3 linked regions of the Drosophila melanogaster genome follow. The protein of the gene in region 2 interacts with the protein of the main gene of each other region in a pairwise test. Each region holds a gene or a part of one and is shown on either strand. Other genes may lie near its edges.

The links. Proteins that work in one complex are often made in the same cells at the same time.
Region 1: the proteins of Axn (region 2) and CAP interact in a two-hybrid assay, tested with the Drosophila melanogaster proteins (2 studies listed by BioGRID).
Region 3: the proteins of Axn (region 2) and arr interact in a two-hybrid assay, tested with the Drosophila melanogaster proteins (one study listed by BioGRID).

Annotation. Positions count from the first base shown.
Region 1 is NT_033778.4:10,277,209-10,282,664, reverse strand, and holds the start of CAP (CAP), read right to left. Parts: upstream 3,930-5,456; 5' UTR 3,325-3,929; coding exon 1-3,324.
Region 2 is NT_033777.3:30,020,171-30,026,767, reverse strand, and holds the start of Axn (axin), read right to left. Parts: upstream 3,927-6,597; 5' UTR 2,928-3,926; intron 2,342-2,927; 5' UTR 2,146-2,341; intron 1,303-2,145; 5' UTR 1,229-1,302; intron 551-1,228; exon of another isoform or gene 1-550. Other genes in the region: RpS28a (ribosomal protein S28a), read left to right, coding at 4,170-4,364.
Region 3 is NT_033778.4:13,479,301-13,484,864, forward strand, and holds the start of arr (arrow), read right to left. Parts: upstream 3,930-5,564; 5' UTR 3,855-3,929; intron 2,785-3,854; 5' UTR 2,669-2,784; coding exon 2,476-2,668; intron 1-2,475. Other genes in the region: cbc (crowded by cid), read right to left, coding at 4,487-4,604, 4,673-5,180, 5,271-5,564.

The DNA.
Region 1 (5,456 bases), on a different chromosome or scaffold from region 2:
GATCTTCTGCTTTTGTTCGCTTGCGTCATCTCTCTTGGCGTTTTCGTGAGCGGTCGCCTTGGCCGCCGTTTCGGCGCTCTTCACCGGTACCGGCGGCGGAGGGACAGGAGGCGCTGGGGGCGAGAGGCTCTTGCGCAACTCGCGCATCATGGCCGCCGTCTTGAGCATCTCACTCTGCTGCTGCTGGTGGTCTTGCTCGAGAACCTGGGCCTTGGACAACTCATGGTATCCCCGACGCTCCACGAACTTCTGGTGAGCATCGAGCAGGTCATCCGGTTGGGTTTGGTTATTTACCAAATCTCTCTGTCCGGGCGACAGGCAGACCAATAGCTTGGGATCGGACTGGGTCGGCAGACCCAGCCAGGCGGAGGAGGACTTGCTCTCATTGGCGTTTAACTGCAGCTCCTTGATGTGCGGCAATTGGGGCATGGGATAGGGCATCTTGTTCTGGGATTGGTCGCTTATATTCTGGGCCACACTGGCTAACTCCTCGAGCACCTGTTCGCCATAGGGCATGGAAGCCAACTGCTCGGTGCACAGCAGGCGCAGCTTCTTTATTGCTTCCGTATCAGTGTCGGCATCTGCATCTACATCCGCATTTGCATTCGCAACCGAATCTGCAACTGAAAGCTCTGGCTCTGATTGGGGAGTGGGTGGTGCGGGTGGTGATACGGGTTGCGGTACGGGTGGTGGTGCAGGCTTTTGTCTGAGTGGCGGTGTAGGTGGCTGAGCAGTGGGTGGCGGTGGGGGACTGGCCAGGTTGATGGCCGTGCATTGGCTGTGGGTGGTGCTGTCAGAGCAGTGGGAGTCGTTCGACTCCTGCCGCTTCAGCTGCAAGGAAGCTAGGTGGAACGAGGAAGACTCGGGACTGTAGGGTGGCACGGAAGCGGGAGGTGGGGGAACGGGCGGCGGCGACGGCGATCGCGGTAGTTCACCTTGCTCCTGTTCGCGCCGCGTCATCTCGATCAACTCGCGCACTTTGTCCATATTGCGAACGAACTCCTCGCGCGTGGCCGCTAGCGGCGATGCTGCCCCGAAACTAACAGTCGATCCACCAGATACATTTGTATCTTTTGCTAATTGTTCTCGATCGGCGGGAGTGGGCGTCGGCGTCGGCGTCGGCGTTGCGGCGCTCAGCAGCGAAGACTGCGAACTGGCGAGCGTCGGGTTGGCGTTAACAGGTGTGCTCTCGCGACTCTGCTCGCCCTCTCTCTCCGTCTCCGTTTCCGTTTCCGCTTCCGTCTCGCTCCTGTCTGCAGTAGTGGTACTAGTGCTGCTCATCTCATCATCCGGCCGAGCAATCAACCGACTGGCATCCGTATCCAAGTCTACGAGGGCTCTCTCCGCCAAGGCGGCAGCCTGCTCTAGTTCTAGTTCCATGAGGTCAGAGACGCTGCTGGAGGCCGAGGAGCTTAGGTAAACTAGCTCCGCATCTTCAGACTGTGGAGACAGGGCGCTCTGCAGTCGGGTGCAGCTCTCCAGATCGGTTGACTCCTCCAGCAGCTTGGTTTCGAGCTTAAGAGGCGACGGTGCCTCCTCCCTACGCTTGTGTCTGCGACTAAAGTCCAACTGACTCCTGGGAAAGGTCTCGTTTAGCTTGGGAGTGCGGATCCCCGTCTGATCGCTTCCGCCAGAGGAGGCGGTGGAGTTTCTCCATTCATTCTCCTCCAGGATGCTGTCCAGATAGCGGGGATTGAGCAACTGCGGCATGAAGTGCGATTCCAAAGCGTTCCGATACTGGGCACGTTTCTGGCGCACCTGCTCATGCTGCTCTACTCGGCTGCTGGACGGCACCTGCTGATCCGACGGCGATCGCTCCGGTCCCAAGACTACCGATCCCTCTGATTCCGAGTCTACTTCGCATACCAGCGGCGACTGCAGGGAATTGAATTCCCCGGAGCTGAAGTCGCTGTTCAGTTCCATTTCCTGGATTTGCACATTGCGCGAGAAGTTCGAAAACTGGCCACTTGACACGTTCTTCGGCGACTCCACCAAATAACGAGGTGGTGGAGATAGGGTTCCGGCCAGAGAACCGGTAGTGCTGCTAACCTCCTCGAAAGTGGGCTTGGCATTTTGCTCTTCGTCGGTGGTTTCCACGTGTATCTGGTGGATAATCACCTTGGAGGTGGGCTTCTGTGGAGGAGGCTGCTGGGAATAAGGATCTTCTGTTTGAAACTGAACTTTTATTGTTACTTCCTTTGGGGATTTCGGTGCAGTGTCATCATTTTGCTGTTGGGCGTTATTCAAAATGGGTTCCTCTTTCACATCATGATGCAGTTGCTGTGCGAGGCCCTCTTCTCTCTTCTTCGGATCTACAAGGATTTGTGGAACTGCAATATTTTGCTGATGCGCTTTAGTTGATTCCTGTAGGTGCTGTGCTTCATTTTGCTCCTGCTGCTGTGCATTTTGCTCAGTGTCTCTCTGTTTTTGATAACTTTGCACGGCAGCAACGTGTTGCTGATGTGCATTTTCCACAAATTCCATTGCCTTTTCGAGTTGCAACACATATTGCTCCGGTTCCTTTGAATCGTGTTGCTCTTGCTGTGGATTATTGTCAGTGGTCTCATCCTTTGAGTAGTCCACTTCATCATAAACTTGTTGATTCTCTTCAACTTCGACATGTTTCTGCTGTGCGTCCTCCGAAAGATGACTAGATTCAGGAAGTTCCTTTGGACTCGGTTCATTTTCCCGTTCTTCCTTAGTTTCAATCTCCTGCTGAGCTTCAGGTTTCTCCTTCTTTGAATCCTCGACCTCCATGTGCTGCTCCTTAGATTCCACGGCTTTGGGTGGCTCTGGAGATTGAGCTTTGCCATTGGCCGTGTCCTCTTCCCTCACAATTCGATGAACTATGACCTTGGCTTGCCGGGGGCTACCGGGTGGCCTTCTTATAATGGTGGGAGGTGGACGCACCTGCTCTTCAGATTTTCCATTAGACGCCTGCTTATCGGACTTTTCCTTGCGATGTTTTGAGTTTTTGGCACCCATTTCTGCGTCTGAATCTGCTTCTTTTTGGATGACTGTTGCTGGTTGCTCGAATATTTCTTCTTTTTTTTCGGTTTTCTCAAGAGTGTTCGTCACCTCTTCGCTGTTTTCCGTTGGCCCATTTGAAACGCTGCCAGAATTTCCATTATCATCTACGAAGGAAGAAGATTGCGCTACTGCGATCTGAGTTTGGAAATCCTGCTGCTCCTCCCGATCCTCCGCCCCTTCTGCCTGCTGCTGATGGTTTTCGTTTTGGTTTTGGCTCGGATTCTGATTTTGATTTTGGTTTCGATTGCGTTTGTTGCGATTGCGATTGCGATTACGATTGCGGTTATTGGGCATCGTCTACGGCACTTTCGCTCGATCTGAACTAATGCAGTTTTCCTTGTGTGTGAGATATATATGTGTTTTTGTGTGTAAGTGAGTACTTCGTGTTTCGTGTTTCTTAATCAGCCAGAATCTACAGTACAACTAAGTGTTGTTTCGTTTTTCGGTGTCGTTTATTTCTAGTTCCCTCTGTGTGTGTCACTCGTCGCCAGAAACTCAAACAGAACTGAACTGAGAACCAGAACCGAGAGCCGGCGGCATTCTGCTCGCGACGACAGCCGGCAAAATCGAAAAAAAAAAGAAAATAAAAAAATAAAACAGCGACGTCGCTGCCGCTGCCGGCGTCTACGCCGCCCCGCCCACCGCCCACCGCCTGGCACGCGTCCGAAATCGTTATGTTTTTAGGTTTATTTTTCGCCGCCGAGATCGCGCCTTTGTCTCCGATTGCCTCGATATTTTTTCGCCAAATTAAATTGCGTTTTGAATACTAAACTTTCGCTCTCGTTTTGGGGGTATGTTCGATTTGAGCAACGGGGACACGGGGTGAAAAGTTTTTTAAATATTTTTTAAGATCGCGCTTCCCGTTCCTCGTGGCGCTGGCGACCGACGGACAAGGAATGGGCCGTGGGCTTTCCACGATCTCAGCCGGGAGCTAGCTCCCCAGTCTCCCACTCACACACATTTTTACAGACAGCCCGATTCGGATGCACAGTGGCAAGTATTTGAAAATATACACACAAAAAGGAAAATCGGGGAATTCATAACGATGCTCATGTTCACAATACATACATGTACGTAGAAAACAGAAAGTCGTACGGGAGAGCGGGAGAGAAATGTGCAAAACCAAAACAGAATCAGAATCAGAATGCAGGGTATTCCAAAGACATCAAAATACCAAAGAGACCGAAAAAAAAAACAACAATATGACTTCTAGGTCAATGCAATTTTCACAAGCCAAACAAACTCATAAAATCCGAGATGAGCAGAAAAGAAACGCACGGCTCGAAAATATATTCGGCACATTCATAAATATTAGAAAATGTTTTTGGAACACGTACATAATTTGTTTGTGGAATTTAAGCTAACGAATATATGCTTTCGAAAATAAATTTTTTTAAATGTCACAAACACATTTTTGTCTTGAATTTCGGTTGATAAATGCTCAGGAATGAAAGATGTAAGACATTAAGAGAAAATAAAGAATTTAGAGGTCAAATGAAATCAGATAAACCGTTTTCCAACCACTTAAATTGTTTAATTTTTTAAGTGGTTGATCTAAAAAACTTTCGTGCAATATACCCAAAATGGCTCAATGCAGGGCATTAAGAAGAGAACTCAATACGGAAATAGTTTGCCACAGTTCGAGTTTGCTTATATGTATCTTCTGGCCGATGTGTGTGCTTGTGTATCTGATGAGTCTGCGCTGGCTGTGTATCTATATACAACTTATGGCATTTTAAAGATATTTTTCGTGCGTAATTTCTTTGCTTTTTGTGGTCACAAGTCTCTGTTTTCGGTGTACTCTTGAATAATTGAAGCAACATATATCCACGCGCATATATGTATGTATAGCTCTCCCATGTATCATCCCAGTGGGCCATGCGGTTAGTAGTATTCCGCTTTTATTTTTAAAGGTACTTAATGGCTTTCAATTTCTCTTGTTCTGTCTGGCCCACAGCCCCATCATCTCCATTAACTTCCTCCGACCAGAACCAATCCGAACTGAAGTATCTTCGCGGGTCTGTCAGGTGCCAGACGAACCAGACACGTGATGTGGTGGTTTTGGCCCGGGCATTATGCAATTTCTGCACAGTGTGACAGACACGGGTATACCAATTAGGGAATACTAAACGATCGCTTTCCCCTCCTCAGAAACCCACTCACTTAATGTGTATTCTCAATTGGTTTCGGTTTCCGTTTGGATTTCGTTTGGGCCCCACCAAGTTGCCTGAATCACTGACGTACGACGAACATCCAAGTAGCCGCTATCTATATCTGTGGATCCATTGTAGCGGCTTCTATTTTCAGTTTTCTTGCCCCGTAATATCAACAAATTTGAAATTGATTTCTACGCCTCGCCCAATTTGCTGTAGAACAGCACACATTTTAGTTATCTTTTCTGGGCTATCGCTGATAAATTTTGCATT
Region 2 (6,597 bases):
CTATACATGTTTGTGTTTTAAGAACGAATACAACCATTTCGAGGATTTTTTCTTAGTGGAGGACTACTGCCCCTTGAATATCCCGACCAGCTGTTGATGGACTGCCCTGCGGAGGAGCAGGAGTGCGAGTGGCGGTGCTGGGACGACCTCCAACATGATGATGCTCCATGTACATTGTACAACAGCACACAAAGGATGTTCTTTTCAGAGTGTCCGTGGTTGCGGCGGAGCAAGCGAGACGGCAGCAGGCGAATAGGAGTCATTGTGTGCAACCAATATGCGCAGGTCCAGATTGAGTCCCCAGACCCTGGTCCCCCCATTCTATGCCCTGCTGCCCAAGCCCAGACCAAATCCTGGCCCACTGCCAGAGTGGCAAGGCAAAGGAAGGACCAGACGCCCGCCCGTTCTTATTGTACATAAACAGAGCAGCGGAGTTGGGTTCGCATTGTAGTCCTTCCTGAAAGCCGAGGGGTGGGGCAAGGGTTGAGATGGAAGACCCACCTCCGGAGTCCGATTCCTCCCCTAAACACAAATGTGGAAATTATTTTCGAATAAGTTTGAAAACAATACGAAGGGAGGAGCGACCGGCGGCAGCCTCGTTTGTTTCTAATGAGGTTAAGACCGCCATTGCTCAACCAACCGCCCGATGAACGGCGTCTGATGGCGGTCTAGACTCCACGCCGGCATGGTCTGGCCCGGCAAACTGGGGGAAACACGGGCACTACTCACTGCGGCTGCGAGTATTGCCGAAGGTCAATAGTGGCACTTTGTGCGCGGCAAAAGTTGCCAGCACAGGCGGAAAAGTTCAGCGCGGAAGCGCCTACTTTTCAGGTGCAACGCCCATTACAAGGACACCGAAGGACCCGAAGGATGCACTTGGGCGCGGTCAACTGTTGCTCCTCTCCGAGACAACGGAAACTTATTCAATTCCTTAATCAGAGTGCTGCAGCCCAATAAACAATAGTGAAATCATGGTATCCTTATTGCACTAAGAGGATTTTTCAATTGAGTGAAAAGGTAGTTTCCGAATAATAACCAATTAAAAAGGATTTATTAAAACCCTTCAGGATGTCATGATTATTAGGTTTCGAGAAATGGAAAAGGACCTAAGTATATCAATGTAAATCAGTTTTTCATACTAGTTTATATTTCTGAGATTCTCGCATGCAATCGTAGTTGTCTTAAACTTCAAAACCATTGACAAAGTAAAAATAAGTTGTATACTCACATATGTAATTTGCATAAAAAATTCAACATGAAATCAGGGGAAGATATTGGTATTCCGAATGGTTCCAGTTGTTCCTGAAAGAATAGTGAAATGAAGAAAAGATTAGATCAATTGAAATCATTTTGAAATAAGCTAAGACAATATATAATACTAAAATATTTGTTCGAAAGACTAAGGTTGTAAACATATAGTTAAGAGTTTGGAAAAAAAAAAGATTAGAGCCATTGTTATCCATTTGGTATAAATTTATGTTATATGTTAAAGTTAAAGTTTTATCTGAAGACTAATGTTTCTAGCCTTACCAAGCATTATGGGATAGTTAAAAAAATTATGAACACTTTTACTCTGTTTTAAATATACATATATATAAATAAATGTATATAAAATATGTATATATAATAGGCAAGCTTTATACATAAGGATATTATCAATTATCAATTGGGAGAAAAGAGATTTGGCCATTGGGTATATTTTTGTTCGCCAAGAAAGTAAGTCCAAAACAATGAAAATAATTTTAAGAAAAATCTTTAGTCTCGTGCATCTCATAAATAATCATTCAAACCAAAACATAATACAAATACCATAAATAAATTAAACAAAAAAACTTTTTTATATGCCAGTCATAAATATTGCATCAAAGATAAAATTGGAAGGTATTTTAATAGAGATAAAATTGTATAAATATTATTTTTGGCTCAGCTTAAATAAATTTACATTTCAGAGCCCAAATCGAATTAGTTTTCAACACAGCGAACTTTAAATCAATCAGTAGCAACCACCCAAGTGCCTCCTTTTTTTCAATAAGCCATACATATTGGATTTGTGGGGGAGAAAATATTTCGCGCACGGGTGCATCCAATAAACGCCTAAATAAATCTAAAGAATGCTTTGAATATAAAGGGTGATAGAACACTAACCGATTAAACTCAAGTGAGAAATGGCCAACGCTTGAGAACATATCAATCCATAGCGCTGCAAGTCCTTTAAGATGGTTGAATCTTTTTATGTCCGGTTTGTAGAAATGTTTAACTACACGCTTCACTTAATTACTCTTATTCGCATAAATTCCTATTTACGTAGCTTATATTACAGTTGATGCAGTACATTCAGTACCTGAAAGAAGAGGATGTGTAAATTGTTAAATAGGTAACATTGTATATTATGGATATGAATGCAGGATGATAATATAATTATGTTTTACTGTTTTGTTAATTAATTGATTTGTTAATGAAGTTAAAAGATATATACAGTTTCTATGGGATCCCATTGGCACATACACCTCAGAAATAAATTAAATGTGCTGCAAACTAATTAATTGAGCAATATTTTAGTTGGATGATTAGAATTTGCATGGCGTTCTAAATGACTTTTTCAATGATCAGGTATCATCCTTCGATTTAATGAAATATACATTTCATAAAGTTACTATTATTGCAAAATATATGCTCACATTTCTTACAAAGGATCATTCAAATTACTATTAATATTTGAGATATTAGTTAGACGTGAATAAATTGTCTAATTCCAATCATTTCCCTTGATACAACTAGATCATTAATCAGACTTATGTTGTGCCTTTCTTAAAGTATTAATATTAGTCCTTAAGTAAGTTGTGCAAATCCAATAATCCACAAACTGCGTAAGAAAGTAATAGCATTAGTTATGGATTGTGCATGGGAATTCCAAGAGCAGTACTCACCCTTAGATTCGTGTATCCTCGGCTTCACTCAATTGGGATGGCAGACGACTGATCCTGGCGCAGTCCTGACGGCCCTGGCTCCAATCTTCGATGGCGGTGACGATGGCAATGGCGATGACGAGGTGGGTTTGGACGGGTGTAATTTGATTGTAGCTTTAACGGCTGGACGCTTCGATTTCAATTGCAACTTAGCTTTCAATTTCGATTTCAATTTCAACTTCAATTTCGATATCGACGAGGATGCTTTCATTTTGATTAGTGTGCTCAACGAGAGGGACGCGTGACTAACAATTAATGGAAGGACGATTTGTGGAGTTCAACAAACAAGCAAACGTAAACAAGAGAGTGTGGTTAACAAGGCGCTGGCACGATGACCGGACTAAATGCTAAACAAGGCTGCAGATCCTCTCCTCGCGCACGGATCCCGATCCTCTCCTCTGCTCTCCTCAACTCAAGTGGGCTGGCCCGAGGGCATATCCTATCCTATCCTATCCCGGTGTCTGAGCTGCCTGCTGTAAACAATGGCTGTATGTCTCTTAACTTAATGCTTCGCCAGGAGCAGTCATCCTCGTCCGCTGGCAACTTTGGGCTCTCCGCGGGGAGAAAATCGTGCTGAAGCGCCGCCCTCTAGAGCATTTCGGCGTCTCCGGGCTCCTGCACTGTGAGAAATCTGTGCTCGGTGGCCTTTCCACTCAGTTCTGCACCATTTGTGCACTTTTCCGTCTGCTGCTTCTTTATTTTGTGTATTTTGTTGCTGTTGCCTCCGCTGGTTGTGGGTGCTGCTGCTGTTGCCGTTCGATTTTCATGGACGTATCGCTGCGGGCCGCTGTGCGCCGAGTCTCCGGAACGCGCACACTCTTTTAGGGCTCCGTGGCGCCGCTTATTCAGTGGTAAATAATAGATTTATTGAATGGCAAAACAAAATGTAGTTCGACACAAATGTTAGACGGCGAGACGAACGATTACATGCTAGAGTTGCGTGGTTCGAAATCGAACTGGTTCGATAGCTCGCCTCGGGGATGCCAACTGGATTGCCAACACTGCGAAAGGTGGCAGCTCGACTTGGGGTCACCTTGTGGTTCGCGTCCGCACTTATGTTGCGCTACAAGGCCTACAGGTGGCGCCAGGGATGATAGAAGGGTAGATAGGTTTTCTATTTTCATCGACTGGAAAGGCAGCAGCACTCACAGCTTCAAATTCAAATCTTTTATTGTCGAACAATTCTCGAATTTCGTATTCAGCATGGACAAGCCTCAGTACGCTCGCGTGGTCGAGATCCTTGGACGCACTGGATCCCAAGGGCAGTGCACCCAGGTGCGGGTGGAGTTCCTCGGCGACCAAAGCCGCCAGATTATTCGGAATGTCAAAGGACCTGTTCGCGTGGGCGACATCCTGTCGCTGCTGGAAACTGAACGCGAGGCCAGGAGACTGCGCTGATGTATGAATTACACCTGTTTGATTTCCCAAATCAAGTTAATAAACGATTTTGTTTGTTCAATTTTTAAATCCCAAACTATCGATTTCCTATCGCTAAGCTATCGATTCTTGCCATCGCAGCCCTAACAGCTGTTTGTGTTGATTCCGATTCCGCGAGACACTCGGATACAGATACTCACGCTCAGATACTCAGTTACTCAGCTACTCAGATACTCGTTCGCAGCGGACGGCCGAGCTGAGATACTCGATCGCGAGCTTGTTGTTGCCCCAGCCAGGCGAAAGTGAAAACGGAACGCCCAGATGAACGCCGAATAAATCAAGCGAAGTAGCAACAAATGCGGGAAATGTGAAAATGCGCGCGGCAGTGGGTTGAAGCGAGACGGGTAGAGCTAGAGAGATGCCCGTTTGCCCGCTGTGCGTGTGTGTGTGTGCAGCGGCGGCCGTAGCAGCTGCTGGTATGTGTGTGTACCGCAAGTGCAGGAGCCTGCATTGCAAAAACAAAAGCGAGTGCGAAAAGAACAGCAAACAGGATTAAAAGTGACGGATTCGATTCCCCGGGGAATCCTACCAATTAGTGCAAATTCCGAAATGCACGGAAAAGCGAACGAAAGCTGCGAATTCGTTACACTGCTGCACTTGGACTTTTCGGGGCGCTCTGAAAAATCGATTGACCGCAAGGAAAGTGGCGACCGCGAAATAATGCAGGCATTGGGCTCCTTCGAGGCAGCTGCACTGCGCGAAAAGTCCAGCAAAGGTGAGTGCGGACAGCTAGGGCAATTAAAGCAACAAAAGGCCAAAGATTGTCGTTAAATTCGATCCATAAAAAGTGGGCGAAAAAACAATGCAAAGCGTACGGCGCATTTGCCTGAGTTTTCGTGTTTGTTTGTTTTGGTTTTTTGCCTTCGCTTTCGGCACGTCAATTTTCGCCACTTATTTCGTAACAACTAAACCGAAAATACCTGTTCGTTCCACGCCCCCTGCCACCGCCCACCTCCCACCGCCCCCCGACACACCCAAAAAAAAAGTGCTTGCATTTGCGAATAGAGGTGGTTCCTACACCGGAAGAAATTACTGCCTGCGATTTAATGTTATTATTCTAATTAAAAAGCCTATGCATTATGAATATTTCATTCATAAATAAATCAAAGTCAATGAACTTTTATCTGTTGCTGCAAGCGCTCATTTATTCATAGAAACTAGCTTAAATGGTGAATATTTCATTCGGTTTTCCAACTTCAAAATCACTTTCTAAGTGGTATTCGAAACTCCGCACAGTGTACTGCTATTCCTAGACCTTTCATTGCCTGAATTTCAAAGTCGCGTTCAGTCGTCAGTCAATTGGCCCACTTACAATTTATTAATAAAGGGACCGGGTCATTAATGTTCATTGATTTTCCGCACTTAAGTGCGTCAGATTGACGTTACCAGGAAACATGGTAATTAGTGGCCCCTGGCACAAAGGGGCGTGATTAGCTATTCCGCCGGAGTGAGAGTCCTGAGATCGGGAACTCCACTCTTCCACTGGCTTGGATTCGCAGTCAGTATAGTATCACATCTCATTCGTAATAGCACATTCCAGGGAACTTCGCATGTGACTTGGTTCTGGAATGTCCACTTGTGAATCGAAACTGCTTTCAACTGGCGGCAACGTGACTCCAAAGCAAACTAGTTAGGTTTCGCGGAAAAGCTGTAAAAACTACATACATATTATTTGCAGTGCCTCATTTTCAAATATCGTTTTTGGTTCCTCATGTGAGTAGTTAAGGCTCGGGGGAATTTTTAATGTTTATACAGATACATACTTGTATGTAGCTTATTACTTAGTTTCGACCTTGAACAACATCGCTGATATGAGCTAATTTCATTATTCTCCTCAGAATAAAGTGCGCTTCATATGTGTAAATATGAAAAAGTACATACACAGGCACGTTTATGTTGTATAGAAGTCTCGCACGTTACTCATGGTTGGTGGAATCATCTCTTAACTCTATAAGATGATTACAGCACAGCTCCAAATGGGTCACTGCGATTGCATCCAAAAACGCCCCCAAAAACATCACAGCAAACTTGCTGTGATGTTGCATGATTCTAGTGACTAGTGGCTAGTTGCTATAGTGGGTATTATCTAGTTCTTTCCCGATTCTGCCACACAATTGCGCTTCCTCGAGGCAAAGGCGTTCCACTTGTGAAATTTCGCTGAGCCGCCCGCCGACGAATCTATTTTTACGCCAAT
Region 3 (5,564 bases), on a different chromosome or scaffold from region 2:
AAGCTTTAAACAGATTATAGAAACCCAATTAAAATAATTGCATTAATCTTTGTCCAAAATCTTATTTTCTACAGACAGTAAATTTGAAATGATTCTTTGCTAAAGGCTATTTAGACTGTTTTCTTTTGGCAGCTTACTTATGAAAATCACTTTCATTTATATAATTAAACTAGTTCATGCAATAGTTAACATTCTGATAGTATGCTAAACATCAAATTAAGATTTTAATTGCAACGAATAAACTGAAATTCACGCATGACTAATTGAGTTGGGCATTTTTAATTGGATAATTGGGAAATACTAGCGACTAATGCTTCCTAGGCAAATCCCGCGAGGAAAGACAAAGTGTATCAAGTGTTGACTGACATTCCTAAGCCAATGTCAAGCTGGCTGTTGGAAAGTTGAAAGTGGAAATGGTGCACACATAAATGAAATCAAAATCAATGTCAACAACAGTGAAATGTCGAGTGTCCCGCGGGGACGCAAAGGATGTCAGCCAGGATGGCAGGATGACTGGCTGGCAGGATGCCGTCAGTGGGCGGTGGATGTGGCGTCAAAGGCGCCGTCGCCTTTGAAGTGCTCCCATTACTACTAAACTGGCGTTACTACGGCGTAGTAAATAGAAGCTAAAGCAAATAGCGCTTACGTAAAGGGACCAAAAAAAAGGGGGAATCCCCCACACGGCATGACAGCAGCGCGCAAAAACGTCAGTTAGCTGCAAAAAAGAACAAGGTTTAAAGAAGAACTGGGTGGCCGGTGGGTAGTGTGGAAGTGGTGGCATGGGTGGCATGGATGGCATGGGTGGCATGGGCGGCAAATCAACGCTGGCAAAAAACACTTTGTGCGCGCGTCAAAGTGTTAAAGAAAGTAAGCATCCAACCAGCCGCCCACACACCACCCACACACGACAGAGAGCTGGCCGGGAATGATGGAAGATGGGGTTTTTTTTCCGGAGCTTTGTGTACATATTTGATGCGCTTTTTTTCCTCCCACCCGGCTCGACAAATTTAAGTTTTCGGGCTTCCTTTTCGGTGCGGCGGCACTTGCTTTGTGGATGCCCCCATGCATGCTGGAGTACTCGCAATTCCGGACTCCGAAAAAACTTCGGATTGCAACTGAAGGAGAGAGCCGGAAAAAAAAAATAAAAAAACGAAGAATCCGAAGGCTTATCTTTCAGCCAAACACTCGAGCGTTTTTGGGGCTTAACGATGTTTGGACGGCCTTTGTCCATTTGCTATTTCCATATTGACTTGTCCCGTGCAGGTCCCTTCTACTTCAGTCCTTTGAGCCCCTTTTTTGAAGCTGCACTGAGAAAAACTTTCAAGGAGTCATGCAATATTAATCTATAGAAGAACTGTTTCAGCCCACGAAATTTGTAAGTTCCTCTTACAGACTTCATATCTTAACTTTACATATGATTCCCAACAGAACAGTTCATATAGAGTGGATCTATCGATTTACCATTAGATTTTAAATAATGTACAAGTTATACAAGATTTAATTGATGAGAACTGAACATTTTTCTGAGTGTATAATTTTTGAGCCTGGGTCAATGCTTTGTGCATTTTGAAATATGCCGGCAATTACCGGGCAACTTTGCCATATTACAACTGCTGAATTATTAGTGAGCTGCTTTTTTCAGCTCATTAGCGTCGCATCTAGTGGAAAAGTGTTTGGTGGGGCCGCAGAGTTGTAGTAGTCGTAGGAGTAGAAGTAGATGAAGAAGGGGGTACTAAATTATGCGCAGTGCAATCAAGTTGAGTGCGTACTACAGTCTAAATAAGTAGTAGTTGTTTATTCATAAAAGCATTGCGCCGAGAAATTGTCAGCCTTTGGGCTTTGACAACACGAAAAAGAGCTTAAAGGAAAACGCAAAGCGGCAAAGGAAGGGGCTAAAAGGCTGGGCGAGGGGCGGGGAGCGGGAAGCTCAAAAGTGCAGTTGAAACCACATAAACAAACGCATACAGTGGGCACTCGAACAGGCAACATGCCTGAAATGCAGTTCAGTTACTCATATTTTATCTATGGGATTTTAAGCTTTTAAATTCAGTGAATCATTGAAATAAGGAACTATACTATTAAGTAAATATTCTATCTGAATAGTAATTTTTGATGTACATATTGAAATTTTGCTAAATTAACTATTTAAAATGAATATTGACCAATAAATATAAATATCAAATATTGATTTGAGACTAAACACTCTCAATTTATAATTCAATCACTTGGGAATCACGCAACTACGTTGGTTCACATTAGCGAGCGATACCTGTAGTACAAAAGCCTTTGAGGAAAGTAGAGGAACGATATCAGCGAACCCCCATTCCCATTACAAACTGTCTATCCCTGCGGTTTTTTGAACTCAAAGCCCTCGCCACTCGTCAAATTAATCGAACTGCCATCAAATGCTTGTCAGTTCCCAGCTCCTTTGGCAAAACCGTTGCCCTTTGTTCGAAATGAAAGCACAGAACTTACCATTTTTGTACTGCCAACTGTTTGAGATGCCAAAGCAAATCAGTAGAAAGCCGATCAGCATTTGTCGCCAGCCCACTCCGCTGTTAGATTTCGTGCATTTCGTCGCTTTCGTTGTCACATCTTCATTATTATCTATAACTTGGCACAATTGAGGTTCGATTTCAGCAGACTTTGTGTATGGCTCGAGAGCCATCTTATTTTGGAAGCACTATCTCCGGAATTTTAAGACATTTGGCGCAAAAACAACAGATGACGCGACCCGATCGTGTTTGTCTTTTGTTAGGCGCACATGGTAATCACACGGAAAAACTGCAAGTGGAAGGGAGAGGGAGGTTTGAAAACAGGTCGCTCTCGAAAATCTTTCACTCCCTAGGGTATCAAATAACACCCTTGTTTTGAACTCTCGTTTGTAGTTACAACAGTATTTGCAGAGTTATGCCTGTTAGTAAATAGGTTTTAGGATTTTTGTTTTACTTTCTACGTATCTTTTTTAATAGATTAATATTGGTTCAACTGTTATGACTACAATACAATTCAAATTTATTTCAGTTTTGATCACTAGTGAGTTAATAACTTTTAGTTCCTCGTGCTCGCACTTTTGTTGCGTAGTGTAAGCTAGCTGTTGCTTATGTTGTTGTTATTTCAGTCTTTCAATTGAGTTTCCCGCTTCTTTGTTGACGAGTGTGATCGTCTTGTTTGCATGTGTGCGAGCCACCAATTGTTGTTGTCGTTAAGTAGCGAGTGATAAGCAATTGTGCAACTGTGTGAGGGCCACCACACCGCCATCACCCCCTCCGATCAACTGGTCGCCAAATTGAAATACTGTAAGTGATAAGGTGACTCTGGGTAATTAGGGAACCTCTTTTGCCGCCGCTTCTACGGCGCAACAAGCCGGCAATCGACGAATTGCGGTGCGTGCGCGTGTGTGTGCAACCCCCAGAAAGGCGCAGCGCTGCACTTTCCAGTGGAAAATTTCACGACGCAACCAAAACAAACGCCGTTTGCCGCTGGAAAATGCAGCAGCAACAGAGAGCAAGTGAGAAGAAAACACACAAACACACGCGCACACATGCACAGACGCACACACACACTGGGGGAAAACAGAACGTCTTTCAAGCAGGCCGTAAATTTAGATGCCCGAAAATCTCTTGTTTTGTTTTTAGAACCATTTGATACACATTCCAACAACAACATCAGCAACATCTCGCATGCTGCACAACAAACACGAAAAGCACGACAAATTCCACAGTATCTATGGTTTATGCCCGTTGAAAGTGTATTAATCGTCGCCGTTTCATCGCTATTTGTTGTTAAACCAACGCAATTCGACCGAGCGCAGCCATTTTGTGGTTACTTTGTTTTGTAAATATTTGATTTACTTTTCACTGAGTTTTCCGTCCGCCGTGTTGCCGTGTTTTTCGTCTCGCTCTTTCGAACAGTGTGACCGCACTGAGGCGACGTACGCAGCCGTCAGTATGGCTGCACCTAATTTGCCTAAATATTACCAATTGAGTGTTCTAAATATACCAAAAATATACTGGAAGTAGAGTAGACGTTTGGTTGCACACCTTGCTAAAAAAATTTAGAACACCATTTTGTTTGAATTATTTTCGAATAGAATTACATAATTTTACCAAATGGCGAAAAATGCACATTGCAAATATATTCAAATGCAATTTTTACAAAACCCTTTTTCAGTGGTTATAAGAAACACATAATAATACATACATACACATACAATACATATACTGAATATTATATTCTTGTATAGTTATAATTAATTATAATAGTTTTCAATTTTCAGAAATTACAATATTTGTTTGATATATGTTCTATTCTTTTATAGCAAAACTTAATTAATTTTTGCAAAATGTTATTAAATGTTATTTCAGTTGTTAAACTTGTGGAAAACTTTAAGTTTACTACTTGCACATCTAAACTGTATTTTTTGTAACGCCAACATTAATATAAAATTTCTTAAATTACATCTAGAGCAGAGCATTTACAAATGCTAGGTATGATTATCCATGAACTGCAGTTCCGACCACAGGAGCAGGGCGTTCGGGGGCAAAGGTCGCGGCTGCGGCGAAAGCAACATCACTGCCTGTCTTTCCATATCCACTTCGGTTCTGAGGATAATCAAATAACAATCATATATAACTAGTATAATATCTAGTTTAGGTTCAGCAGCACTTACACGCAACAAAAGCCGGCCACATTGGTGCCAATCACATCGTCCTCCACGGACTCGGCAAAGCTGAGGGCCAGCACATGATGGATTAGGGCGGGCGTGGGTGTAACCGCCACCACCTTGGTCTTGTTGTCCTCCGCCTTCATTCCAATTGGCATGCAGGAGTCGGGCAGCGGCGGTGCGCCGATCTTGTAGAGTCGCAGGTCCTGGAACTTCACCTCGAAGCTGAACGGATAGAAGGGCGCCCTTGTATTGCCGTAGAAGTACTCCTTGATGCGCTGATCCCTCGCCTCGTGTCGCAGTTCCTTGCTGCGCTCGACGACGCCGCCGCTCTTGGGCAGCAGTACCACATGAACTCCCTTGGGAACATCTCGAAGCAGCTCGTTGTATAGTCGCTCCTGGTCCAGAACAAAGATGGCACAGGCTCCATAGGCTTTGGCCGCGTGCAACAGGTGCGCGTAGCCGGATCCCTTTACCCAGCCACAAGTGTTTATAATAATGCCAGAGCTTTTTGCTGCAAAAAGCAGATGCAGAAATTTGCAGTTTATGAACGGGAAAATGTATTGAAAAGTGCAAAGATATGTGTTACACCTTCCCAACTTACTTCGCTTGTTGCTATTCAGAGATTGCAGTGTTACCTCTGCCATTTTGGAAACCACGGCATTGTACAGCACGCTGTTTCCGCTGGGAGACTTATGGCCAAAGTGATAGACCAGCGGCGCTGTCTTGGCGAATCCCTCCTCAACGTTCGCCGGTCGCTCGATGAGAATGGTGGCCACACTCCCGGAAATGGCAATCGAGCCCTGTCCAACATCCAGGTCGGCGTACAGCGGTCGACGACCCACGCGCACAGCATAGTTAAGCAGGATGCGGCACAGAGTGCTCTTGCCCACGTCCA